Ovis aries: one gene and its partner. The main gene of each other region encodes a partner of the protein of the gene in region 2 in a complex. Links are inferred from orthologs where the notes say so. Each region holds a gene or a part of one and is shown on either strand. Other genes may lie near its edges.

Region 1 (5,460 bases), on a different chromosome or scaffold from region 2:
GTAGTTATTAACCTTATTAGATTTAATACCTTTTTATAAGAAATATATTTATATCCACAGTACTATAAAGGTATTTCTAAATAGCCAATAACATACACATACAGGGGAAGGGATATAATACCTGACCTGTAATAAAGGAAAAATAAAAGGGAATAGTTATAATATTTATTTTGGATTATAAATACTCAGGCATGAATAAATATAAGAGATAACAAAGTAGCACCTAGATTCAAACTTGTGGTCCTTGAGGCTTTCTGTCATTCCAAGGCTTAAGGAGACCAAGCAAGTGTCTGGGCCCACACCAAAGCAGTATCATAATATACTAAGAGACGTATTTTGTTCTCCTTTCCAATTTGGTCTATATGTTGTACTTGAACCTACTTTTGGGGGTTATGTTTTACATGCTCAACAACTGGCAGAACATAGTATGTGGTTTCAGAAACAGACCAAAGGATCTCAGACAAATATGAAGATAACCTATTTTTCTAGTATTATTTCCTACTATTGTATTCCCCTCCCTGACCTTCTACCCCATATACTCCATTTCCAGGCCAACAACGCTCAACCCTGGCTGTAAAGCCAAATCACCCAGGGAGCATTTAAAAATATCCACTCTGGACCCATTCCCAGAGATTGTTTTAGCTGGTCTGGGAGGGCCAGATTAAGCATCATACTGATTTTTTTTAAAGCTCCTTAGGTGACAAATATACAGAATAAGTCCGTGACTACTGCCACCAACAAACTGGGTACCTGGCTACTACACACCGCCACTAAAGCACATCGCACATAGGAAGAACCCTGTACTACTTATCATTCAGTCTGTTACTTTTGCCTGAAACATCACAGGGTGCACTAAAGATTTGAAAAAGGGAGTGACATGAGGACTCCAATAGATTTAGGCTTTGAATCCCAGTTCCACCATTTCTTAGCCTATGACCCTGGAAAATTCTCAGCCTCCATTTCATCAGATTAACAGTGCCTTCCTCATAGCATTGATGTGTGAGATTAAATGAGACAATTCATATGGAAGTACTGATATTAAAAGCTATAGTCATCAGACTTATACTACAGAAGAGAAGAAATTACCAGAGGACAGGATGAATGAAACTTATTAGAGAAACAAAATCAAAAGGCCCCAATAATATATTCCAATAATATACTGGAAATCGAGTATTTTTAAAATTTTTAATAGCTATTTGGGGTTTTCCCCCCAGTTTTTTAATAGCGATAAAATATACATAACAAAAGTTACCAGTTAAGCATTTTTAAGTAATAGTTCAGTAATGTTAAATACATTCTTGATGTTATCCACCTATCATCACCAACCACTTCCAAACTCTTTTCATCCTGTAAAACTGAAACATTATACCTATTAAACAATAAAATACAGCTATTCATTTTAAGCCACTGTAACTGGAAGAAAAAAGTACTACTATGAGAAGTACATTACCACCTGAAGAGAAACAGATTTGGAAGAAATGAAGCAATCAGTGTTAGCTGCTTGTCTTTGAGGAAATACCACAGGATATTACTGTGAAGATACCCAGGAGGTAACTGGACAAATGAAACTGGAGCTCAGCAAAGAATCACCTTGTTCAAAATCTCTACATTCTAAAATCCTCCTTCCTGACCATGTGTTCTCCCCTAACTGCCTCTGCTCCTGCTAAGTCGCCTCTACTCACCTAATTATACTGAATCTCCTCAATCTCTGGATATCATAATACTGAGGTCAGAGGTCTCAAACTGGCAACATCTACCACATCACTTGATTCAAAGAACGTTTTGAAAATTTTCTGAATTACTGGTCAACAATTAAAAATCATGAGATTTCAATTTTCAGAGTCTTGAAAATTGGAAACATCTGAGGGGGAAAATGTGACCATGTTCCCACATAGAAACAAAGAGCAGTTGACACTTCTAAACAGGGAAGGAGTTGGATTGGCCTCTGTTGACTTCTGAGTGTGTGACCTCTGGGGACCAGCCCATGCTTCTCTTTTTTTAGCCTCAGAGTTCATCAGTTACCTCTCAGCCTCACCTATGACCCTACCCAGCCCAGAGCCCCAAAGGTAAGTTGGTTCTGTTTTTGAACCATATGTATTACAATCATACAAACACTGGGCACAGAGGTGGAGAAACAAAGATGAAATGAATGCACTCTTCGCACTTGGTCTATCCTCCTCAGTCTCATTTCCAGGCATTCTCCAATTCCACCAGCCATACACGCGTTCCCCACGTCCAGGCCTTTGCACATGCTGTTCTCTATGCCCCCACAGCTAAGCCCAAAGTCCCTTCTCCTAACAATCCTTCACATGTTGAATGACATTTCCTCAGAGACACCGTCTCAGGTTCCCCTTAGTAGATTAAATGAGCCCCCTTTCCCAAGTTCCCACAGTTCTCTCCCCTCATTTTTTTACAGTGAACAGAATATAGTGAACATACTTTCTCCATATCTACCTCGGAGACCAGGGGCTTGATCTTGTCCACCACTGACTTTCCAGCATGTGCCACAGCTGGTCAAGTGCCCCACAAAACTTTCAATAGGTCGGCTAAGCACCTGTTCTTCAAATATGCCTACCCAGCTTCCCCTCAATTCACTTCCTTTACTGCGGCTTCCAGAGTAGAAAAAGACAGGGTATTGGAAATCCTCTTCTTAAACTTCAAATGGTTTTAAACAGGAGGCGACAGCATCAAATTCGTGTTTTTAAGGGCTTATGCTGACTGCAGCGTGTAAAAGAAAAAATGGAAGGAGTGGATGTAGGGAGTCCTGTCAGATTATTTCAGTTTACTTCTATTCCAGTTCCAGAAAAACTTGGATTTACACACCCAACTGGCTTTCTCGGTTGCCACATTTCACGGTACTCTCCATGCCTTCGTACATAAAGTGGCACAATACCGCGAAACCTCCGGATCAGTTGGCCTCCACGCGCCAGGTAACGTTCTCCTCCTCCCACTGTGACACCCCGACACCCTAAATTCCCTAGGACTCTATCAGCTGAGGACACACTCGGCGCAGTCAAGCCCGTCCTACCCGAGGTCGCACATGGGCCGCTCCGCGGTCACTGGTTCTTTGGAAGACCAAGAAGAGAATCGAATCAAGAGAGTAGCTAAGGGGGAGGAGGATAGCCAAGAAAGGAGCGAAAAAGAGAAGGCACCCTAAGAGGCGGCGCCTGGCCAGGAAACCGAGAAACAGGGAACAAGGTTTACCAAAGCGAATCCTCGAACACTCCCACTACAGCTTCCCTCAGCGCCTCAACTACCGGCTTATCCGAGCCACGCCACTTGTGCGTCAAAGAAAACGCTTTATTCCTGCGACCAGCTTTAGAAACCACCCGCTACTTTCAACTAGGAGGGCCAATCGGCACAGTGAGGCCTTCAATCAAGAGTCACGCTCCTATTGGCCAATAACATTGAAGGCACTGCCTTTCAAACCCAGCTCTGATTGGCCTATAATCCTGGAGTAGGCGTTAACCTCAGGAAGGCGATGACAAGATGGCGTCCCTGGATCGAGTGAAGGTACTGGTTTTGGGAGACTCAGGTGAGCGTCTTAACACAACCCTGGGGCTCCCGACACTTTTGAGTTATCCGAAAATCCTCCCCTTTCACTCTCCCTCCATCCAGCCACCGACTAACTGATTTCGGCTCGTGGCTGAATTCCTTCTTAAGTCTTAAAGACTACACTTCCCAGAGGACTTTGCTCAATTTAACGGAGCGGCAGCGTCGTCCGGGTGGGGGCCGCGGACCCGGGGCCTTTTCTCTGCTTTCGCAGGTTTCTACGTCGGTTTCCAGGGCAAGATGCGCAGATACTGAGTGTTGAATTGAGCGCCGGGCTGAGACAAGCGCAGATGCCTTTGGGAGATTTTAGTTAAGGAAATCAAACATGCATTAGGAAGAATGACACTGTCCCAAGTATTATTGACACTGTTCCAAACTTTGCAGGTATTAACTCATTTAATCCCGAGATCAGTCCTATTATACCATTTTACAAATGATAAAAGCGAGGTGGAGAGATGTATGATTTATGGTTTTTACTTTGTAAATGACAGAACTGGTTTGAGCTGCAAGTCCACGTATCTAAAACACCAACCCATACTATTTCATAGAATAACAGGTGGTAGTCTTGTTTTACTTTCAGCTGCACTTCTCTTTTTTTCGTTCTCTTTAATCTTAACTGAAAACCTATTATGTGCTAGTTCTAGTTCAGTCGCTCAGTCGTGTCCGACTCCTTGCGACCCCATGAATCGCAGCACGCCAGGCCTCCTGTCCATCACCAACTCTCGGAGTTCACTCAAACTCATGTCCATCGAGTCGGTGATGCCATCCAGTCATCTCATCCTCTGCCGTCCCCTTTTCCTCTTGCCCCCAATCCCTCCCAGCATCAGAGTCTTTTCCAACGAGTCAACTCTTCGCATGAGGTGGCCAAAGTACTGGAGTTTCAGCTTTAGCATCATTCCTTCCAAAGAACACCCAGTACTGATCTTTAGAATGGACTGGTTGGATCTAGGCTGTAAGAAATAGAAAATTTAAGATAGAGGCCATATTGTGAAGCAGCTAGAACAATGCTGAGCCCAGCTTAATCCTAGTGTTAAAATTCTTACCTTGGACACTTGAGAACTGGAATTGAAGTCTGTGTTTCTCTCTCCCCTTCACTATCTTTCTGTTTCTCCTAGCCTCCATTCCTAATATTCGTAAAAACTTGGAATAGATGACAACCTTGCTTTTCAGGAGGTGGTGGAGGTGGTGGTGGTGTTGTAGTCGATAAGTCGTGTCCGACCCTTACTACCCCGGTGGACTGTATGTGGCCCACCAGGCTTCTCTGTCCGTGGGATTTCCCAGGCAAACATACTGGAATGGTTTGCCATTCCCTACCCCAGGGGATCTTCCCGACCCAGGGATCAAACCCGCATCTCTTGCATCTCCTGCATTGCAGACAGATTCTTTACCTCTGAGCCACCAGGGCAGCCTGGTGCATATCATAGATGTACTTTTCTAAGTTGACCTTTGGATATTTGCTATGAGCAAAAACATTGTGTCAGATGCTTGGAGGTGGAGAGGACATACTCCAAAGAGCTTGAAAATGAGCCTTACCGAATGGAGTAAAATTGCCATGGGGAGGAGTTTGAGTACCTTTTCAGATTACCTGAAGATTATTTTGTATTACAAAATATTTTACAGAGAGCATTATTTAATATTCCCTTCAGAAAGTTGCATAATGAAACCCTGTGAACATAATCCAGTTTATGTCATTTTTAGCTTGACACGTAAAAGTGGGTGGTGCTCTCTCTCATTTTTTAATTCCCTTTCTACTGCATATAGCAACCCCTTCATGCTGACATCTTGTGCAAACTGTCCATTCCCCTACCCCAATTTTTAAACACCTATTACACAAAGCAGTGAGTTAAGTGGTAGGGATATATCTGTGGAATCAAGGCATTGATTGTGTAGCTCTCCATGAGATTGGCT
Region 2 (5,360 bases):
GTCCCTGGAGAATCCCAGGAACAGAGGAGTCTGGTGGGCTGCCGTCTATGGGGTTGCACAGAGTCGGACACGACTGAAGCGACTTGGCAGCAGCAGCATCTTTTCAAACTGGTGGACTCTCTATCACAAATAATGAAGAGGTTGAATTAATATTTGTTAAGAAATATCTACAGAAAACTCCTGCTTTGGAAGGAGGTGGGACTAGATAGATCTCTTTGGGGTTTTTTCCATTTTAAAATTCAACATTCTGAGCAACTTCAGTACAACCAGAGAAACCACAGGTTATCCAGCAAGTATTTTTAAAACACTCCTCTCTTGTCTGAACTCTCCCTAGAACGCTATGGAGAGTCTCAGAAGTACACGAAATGACTATGTAAACGATTTCTATGCTATTTAGACTAGTGTTCATAAGCTCATAAGCAAAGTCTCAGAGGAAATGAAACGGAGCAGGACCCTATGGCCCTTGCCCCCATCAAGTCCTCTGTCTTCTGTCTGTGGAAAGGTTCCGAATTTACTCAGAGAAGTGAGAAATGAAGAAACAAGAGGAAACAATCAAAGGAGACTAAATAATAGTAATGCAGTCATTAAGCATAATCAAGGACCTTTAGTTCCTTCCCAATGACTACAGATAATATTCTGAGCCATATCCTGTGAGCTTGTCTTAAAGATACTGAAACCCCAGGTGGGAGAAGTTACTACATGATGACCAGATTGTACCCACAACAGAAGCTGCCACAATTCTGAGAACTGGCCTCAGAGAAATCTGAACAAATGGACCCTGGAACTGAAGATTAACTGTACCTAAAGCAGCCAAGGTGATGCTGGTCAGACCACTGATGACCAAAGTGAAGATAAGTGTCAGAGCTGACTGTGCTGTTTCTGCAACAGCCCCCTTCTTCTATCTATAAAAGCTCTCGCCCCACCACCAATGGCGGGGGAGAGGGAGGCAGGGAGGGGCGGCACAGTGAATCGGCCTTTGGACAGACATATGCCCTCTCCCAGCCTGCTTTATTTCAAATAAGCAAACTTTCCTTTCCACCAACCTGGCCTGCTTACTAGCTTTTGAGCGACAAGTAGCCAGACCCCACACACCCTTCTGTGAGAGAAGAGAGACTCTCAGACTTTGGAAGCTTTCCGGCATGGGATAGCTCAATAAGTATTTTGTAAATGACTAACAAACAGAAGAACATCTTTAAATTGCCCTAGCCTCTCTGTTAATAAGTTTTACAAGCCTTTATTAAATGTCTTCTGTTTGCGGGGCACTGTACCGCACTGCAGCCTTTGGAAAGTTTTGGAAGATAAATCCTTGCCTGCATGTAAGCAGCTTACATTTGAGAATGTGAAAGCACTCAACAACTTGCTTAAAAAGCAATGAATAAATAAAACGTGACTTAGCACGCTAAAAGTTAAAAATGTAAGCACTGAATATCACTCAGTCATGAAAAAGAATGAAATAGTCTATATGCACAATATGGATGGACCTAGAGATTATCACACTAAGTCTGAAAGAGACAAATAGCATATGATTTCATTACTTGTGGAATCTAAAACATGACATAAAGGAACACATCTACAAAACAAAAACAGACTCACAATTGTAGAGAACAAGCTTGTGGTTGTCAAGCAAGATGGGGAGGAGAGAAGAGAAGGGTTGGGAGCTTGGGATTAGCCAATGCAAACTATTATACAGAATGGATAAACAGGTCCTACTGTACAATACAGGGAACTATGTCCAATATCCTGTGATAAACCATAATGGAAAAGAATATGACAAAGAGTATATGTTTAACTAAGCCACTCTGCTATACAGCAGAAATTAGAAACACTGTAAATTAACTATACTTCAATAAAATTTTATAAAAGCACTGATAAGAAATAAACTTGTCAAACTTTAGTTCAGGAAAGAAGAATCACTGACCCTGGACCTCGAATCTAAGACCTCCCTAAATTCTGACCCCTAACAGTAATATGACCTAGGGAATCCACTAGACTTCTCTAAATCCAATTTCATCATAAGTAAAATGAGGATACTACCAATGCTGTCTACATCTAGCCCAACTGTAAGAATAAAATGAGAACATGTTTGTGAAAGTGATTTTTTAAGTAGTAAAGCTAGACCAACGTGTTATTTCAGAACTATTATTTGGATCTGAAAAGAAATAACCCAGTGTTATACTCAGGTGAGGAAGGCAGAAGACAGTCTTGGGGGAGGGAAAGTGTATTAGAACAAGAAAGGAGAATTCCCCAATGATGTGGTGGGGGAAGGGGGGGGGAACAAGCCTAAAACAACAAACATCTGCTGATTTCACTTTGTAAAGACAGATTATTAACCCAGGCTTTTATAATCACGATTTTAACATAGATAAAATCTATGTTGTTTATTATGTAATTTATTATTAACATAATAAAAGCCTTACAAAGACCTGGATGTTAACAGCATTTGATCCTCACAACTCTATGAGGTATCAGGTATGTATCCTATCACACAGAGTTAAGATCACACAGCTGAAAGTACACAGCCTGGACGCCAGGAGATTGATTCCTAAACCAGGTGCTCCTTATTCCAGACCTAAAACTGGTAAAAGCCTCCAAAACAAAAGCGACCTGCGTGGTATGGGTGAAGTTCAATGGTCCCTAGAACAGAAGGTTTAATGTCTTTCACCATCACATGCTCTAACTTTTCCACCTTTTTCTCATGAGACTACTCCGCATCTGTAGAGTTTCATATGTCCTGTGTAGTAAACAGGACACATCAACTTCCCCGTTTTACATTAAAACACACATCACTGCCACAACTCAGTGAGTTCACGTGTTCCCTCACTGAGAAGCCAAAAGTTCAGTGAAAATCTTTTAACTGCAAAGCCCACATTCCTCCCATATTATCATTTGACTTTATCATTTATCCAGTTTATCATTTGATTTCTTTCAACCTTTCAACTCTTTCTCTCTTGCTTCATTTGCCTGCCTGAGCCTCGCAGGGGCCAATAGTGCTTTGAATAGCCGGCAAGCTGAGAATAAGAGACTGCTTAACCCTGAAAAGACAGCAATGTAGAAGTGGAAGTGAAAAAAGTACCGCAGCGACTTGTTTTGGAAAATGTCTTTAGACTCTGCAGAAAACTATTATAACTCAAGGTTAGGAATCATTCCAAACTAGGTTTCCAAGAGGAAGCTGGAAAAAAAAAAAAAAATCCGTGAAGGAGCGCCTAAATCACAGCCTTTACTTGGCTGGGCGCCGCGGTTCCTCAAACTCCACACACCTGGTCCGTGCGGCTACAGCTAATGTAAGTTTGGGGGCTCAGGAAAGGCACGACCAGCGCTCCAATTCGAATTTCCCCTCTTTCCAACCCAAAACTTTGCTCACTGAACCTCCGGCCTCAGAAACAATGCTCCCGAGAGGCTGTAACCGGGTTAAGCGTTTCGGGCAGGGAACCGCAGCCCCAGCTTCCCGCGGGATGGGAGGCCGCGTGCCCCCGGGAATGGGAGGAGGCCCCGAAGAACAACAGGCTGGGGCTCCGCGCCCCAAACCCGGCGTCCGCAGCTCCTACCTGAGCCAGGAGGGCCGCCCCACGCGCCCCGCCGCCGCCTCCCAGAGCCTCCGCCTGGACCAGCCGCCCACGCCCGCGTGGCTGCCGCTTCGGGCTCGTTGTCAGCGCCTCCGCCGCCCGGCACGCATGCCCAGCGCTGCCCCGCCAGCTCGGGGGTCTTCGCACTGGCGGCTGCTGCTGAAGCGGCGGCTGAGGCGGCGACTCTTCCCCCGGCTCCGCCCGCCACTTCCTGATCGGGTGGCCGGGAGCTCAGTCCCGGTAGGCACCGCGGCGCCTCGGCCGCCAAGAACGCGCATGCGTCATCCCGTGCTCCGCCCAGGTATCGCGGGAGGGAAATCTACCAACTTGGGCGTCCCGATCTCCATGACAACGGAAGGACGATTGGGGGCGGGACGTAATTAGGAGTTGAGTCAGTTCAGTTCAGTCCCTCAGCCGTATCCGACTCTGCGCGACCCCATGGACTGCAGCACGCCAGGCCTCCCTGTCCATCACCAACTCCTGGAGTTGAGTAGCCGCAGCTAAAATGGTGCGACTTTAAATGCTATTCACCATCACCTAAAATTCGGAGAACATTGTTCCAGCTCTCTCCCTACACAACTGAAACAGGAGACGCAGTGAAACTAAATAAATGACTGGCTCGAGACAGCACCGCCAGCAATGGCAAATTCTGAAGCAAAGTCCGGTTTCTGAACTCCGAACCCCCATCCCTGTAAACTCTCTTAGAAAAGGATTTGGGATTCAGCAGCAGCGTAAAGGGGTAAAAATAAAAATAAAGCGGCGAAAAAGACAACTGCCCTTGTCCACAGCCTGCAATGTATTGGACCATGCCAAATTGTGGCGCTGGCCTTGCCTCACTCCTGCAGCCTGAAGCGACCGCATGGCCAGTGCTCTACTATTTTATTGCTGTCCTTTACTTAATGCTGGTTACTCAAGTTACTTGTGTTTTGGTTTTCACATCTGGGAAATGGGAATAATAATTGAACTACCACAATGGGTTACTTTCATTGGATTGTTGTGAAGACTGAATGAGATAATACATAAAATTTTTAATCAAAACTTGGGAATAAAGCCAAAAGATGGTTGTGTGGGTATTTTTTTACGTTTTTATTTTATTTATTTTGGCTATGCTGAGGCCTAATTGTGACAGGCAGGCTCCTGCTCTAGTTGTGGTGCAAGGGGTTAGTTGCCCAGCAGCCTGTGGGATCTTAGTTCCCCTACCAGGGATGGAACCCACGGCCCCCTCATTGGAAGGCAACCAGGGAAGTCCCTGTATGGCTTTTTAAAATTGATTTCATTCTATAGGATTTTGTAATAAACACACTTGATATTCATTTGACACCCTCGGGAAACATAACTTCATTTGGATAACAATTTATTGGGACTCAAAGGTTTTATAACCCAGGAAAAATTGATAAGGTGTAATGAGGAGGAGCAGTCATACACTGAAAAAAAAATTCCAAACCTTAAAATTACGTTGTCTGAGAAACATAAGCCAGTTTTGTATAAATTTATTTTTATTTCATCCCTTCCCCAGTGATTATGTAAGTACCAATTTACCAGTAAGTCTCAATTTACTCATGGAATCGATTCTACCATTCTGCTAGCTTCCTTCTTAATGAATGAGAGAATTCCTATAAATGAACAGTGGCTAGACCATATATGCTGATAAAACTCTGGCCCACTTGAGAAACCAAGCCACAACCTCTGCAGCAATCAGCTCAGAATGGTCAAGATTTACTCAAAGGCTGCCAACTTCCCTGTTTCAGACCTCCTTCCTCCAAGTTCCCCTTCCAGCGCATACTAGAAGCGCTCCCC

Evidence for each region.
Region 1: the proteins of GTF2E2 (region 2) and GTF2E1 are in contact, whole or in part, in a crystal structure (PDB 5GPY), measured with the Homo sapiens proteins. The link is inferred for Ovis aries from reciprocal best matches to the Homo sapiens genes GTF2E2 and GTF2E1. Residues at the interface, in NP_002086.1 of Homo sapiens: Asp159, Gln160, Arg161, Gly162, Leu163, Gly164, Gly165, Leu167, Leu190, Val192, Asn193, Arg194, Pro195, Ile200, Phe202, Cys208, Gln209, Phe210, Ser211, Val212, Asp213, Glu215, Phe216, Gln217, Leu219, Trp220, Arg221, Val223, Thr224, Val225; in NP_005504.2 of Homo sapiens: Arg16, Lys19, Tyr20, Val21, Arg23, Gly24, Phe25, Tyr26, Ile28, Glu29, Leu32, Arg39, Leu51, Leu52, Lys53, Phe54, Asp55, Gln58, Gly68, Asp69, Lys70, Phe71, Lys73, Thr98, Asn101, Val102, Val103, Lys104, Tyr105, Lys106.

What each region holds. Positions count from the first base shown.
Region 1 is NC_056054.1:186,276,448-186,281,907, reverse strand, and holds the start of GTF2E1 (general transcription factor IIE subunit 1), read right to left. Parts: upstream 3,275-5,460; 5' UTR 3,043-3,274; coding exon of another isoform or gene 3,029-3,042; 5' UTR 2,850-3,028; coding exon of another isoform or gene 2,824-2,849; 5' UTR 2,502-2,823; coding exon 2,455-2,501; exon of another isoform or gene 262-2,454; coding exon of another isoform or gene 224-261; intron 1-223. Other genes in the region: RABL3 (rab-like protein 3), read left to right, coding at 3,490-3,535.
Region 2 is NC_056079.1:25,925,666-25,931,025, forward strand, and holds the start of GTF2E2 (transcription initiation factor IIE subunit beta), read right to left. Parts: upstream 3,777-5,360; 5' UTR 3,546-3,776; intron 1-3,545. UniProt on the Homo sapiens protein: Recruits TFIIH to the initiation complex and stimulates the RNA polymerase II C-terminal domain kinase and DNA-dependent ATPase activities of TFIIH. Both TFIIH and TFIIE are required for promoter clearance by RNA polymerase.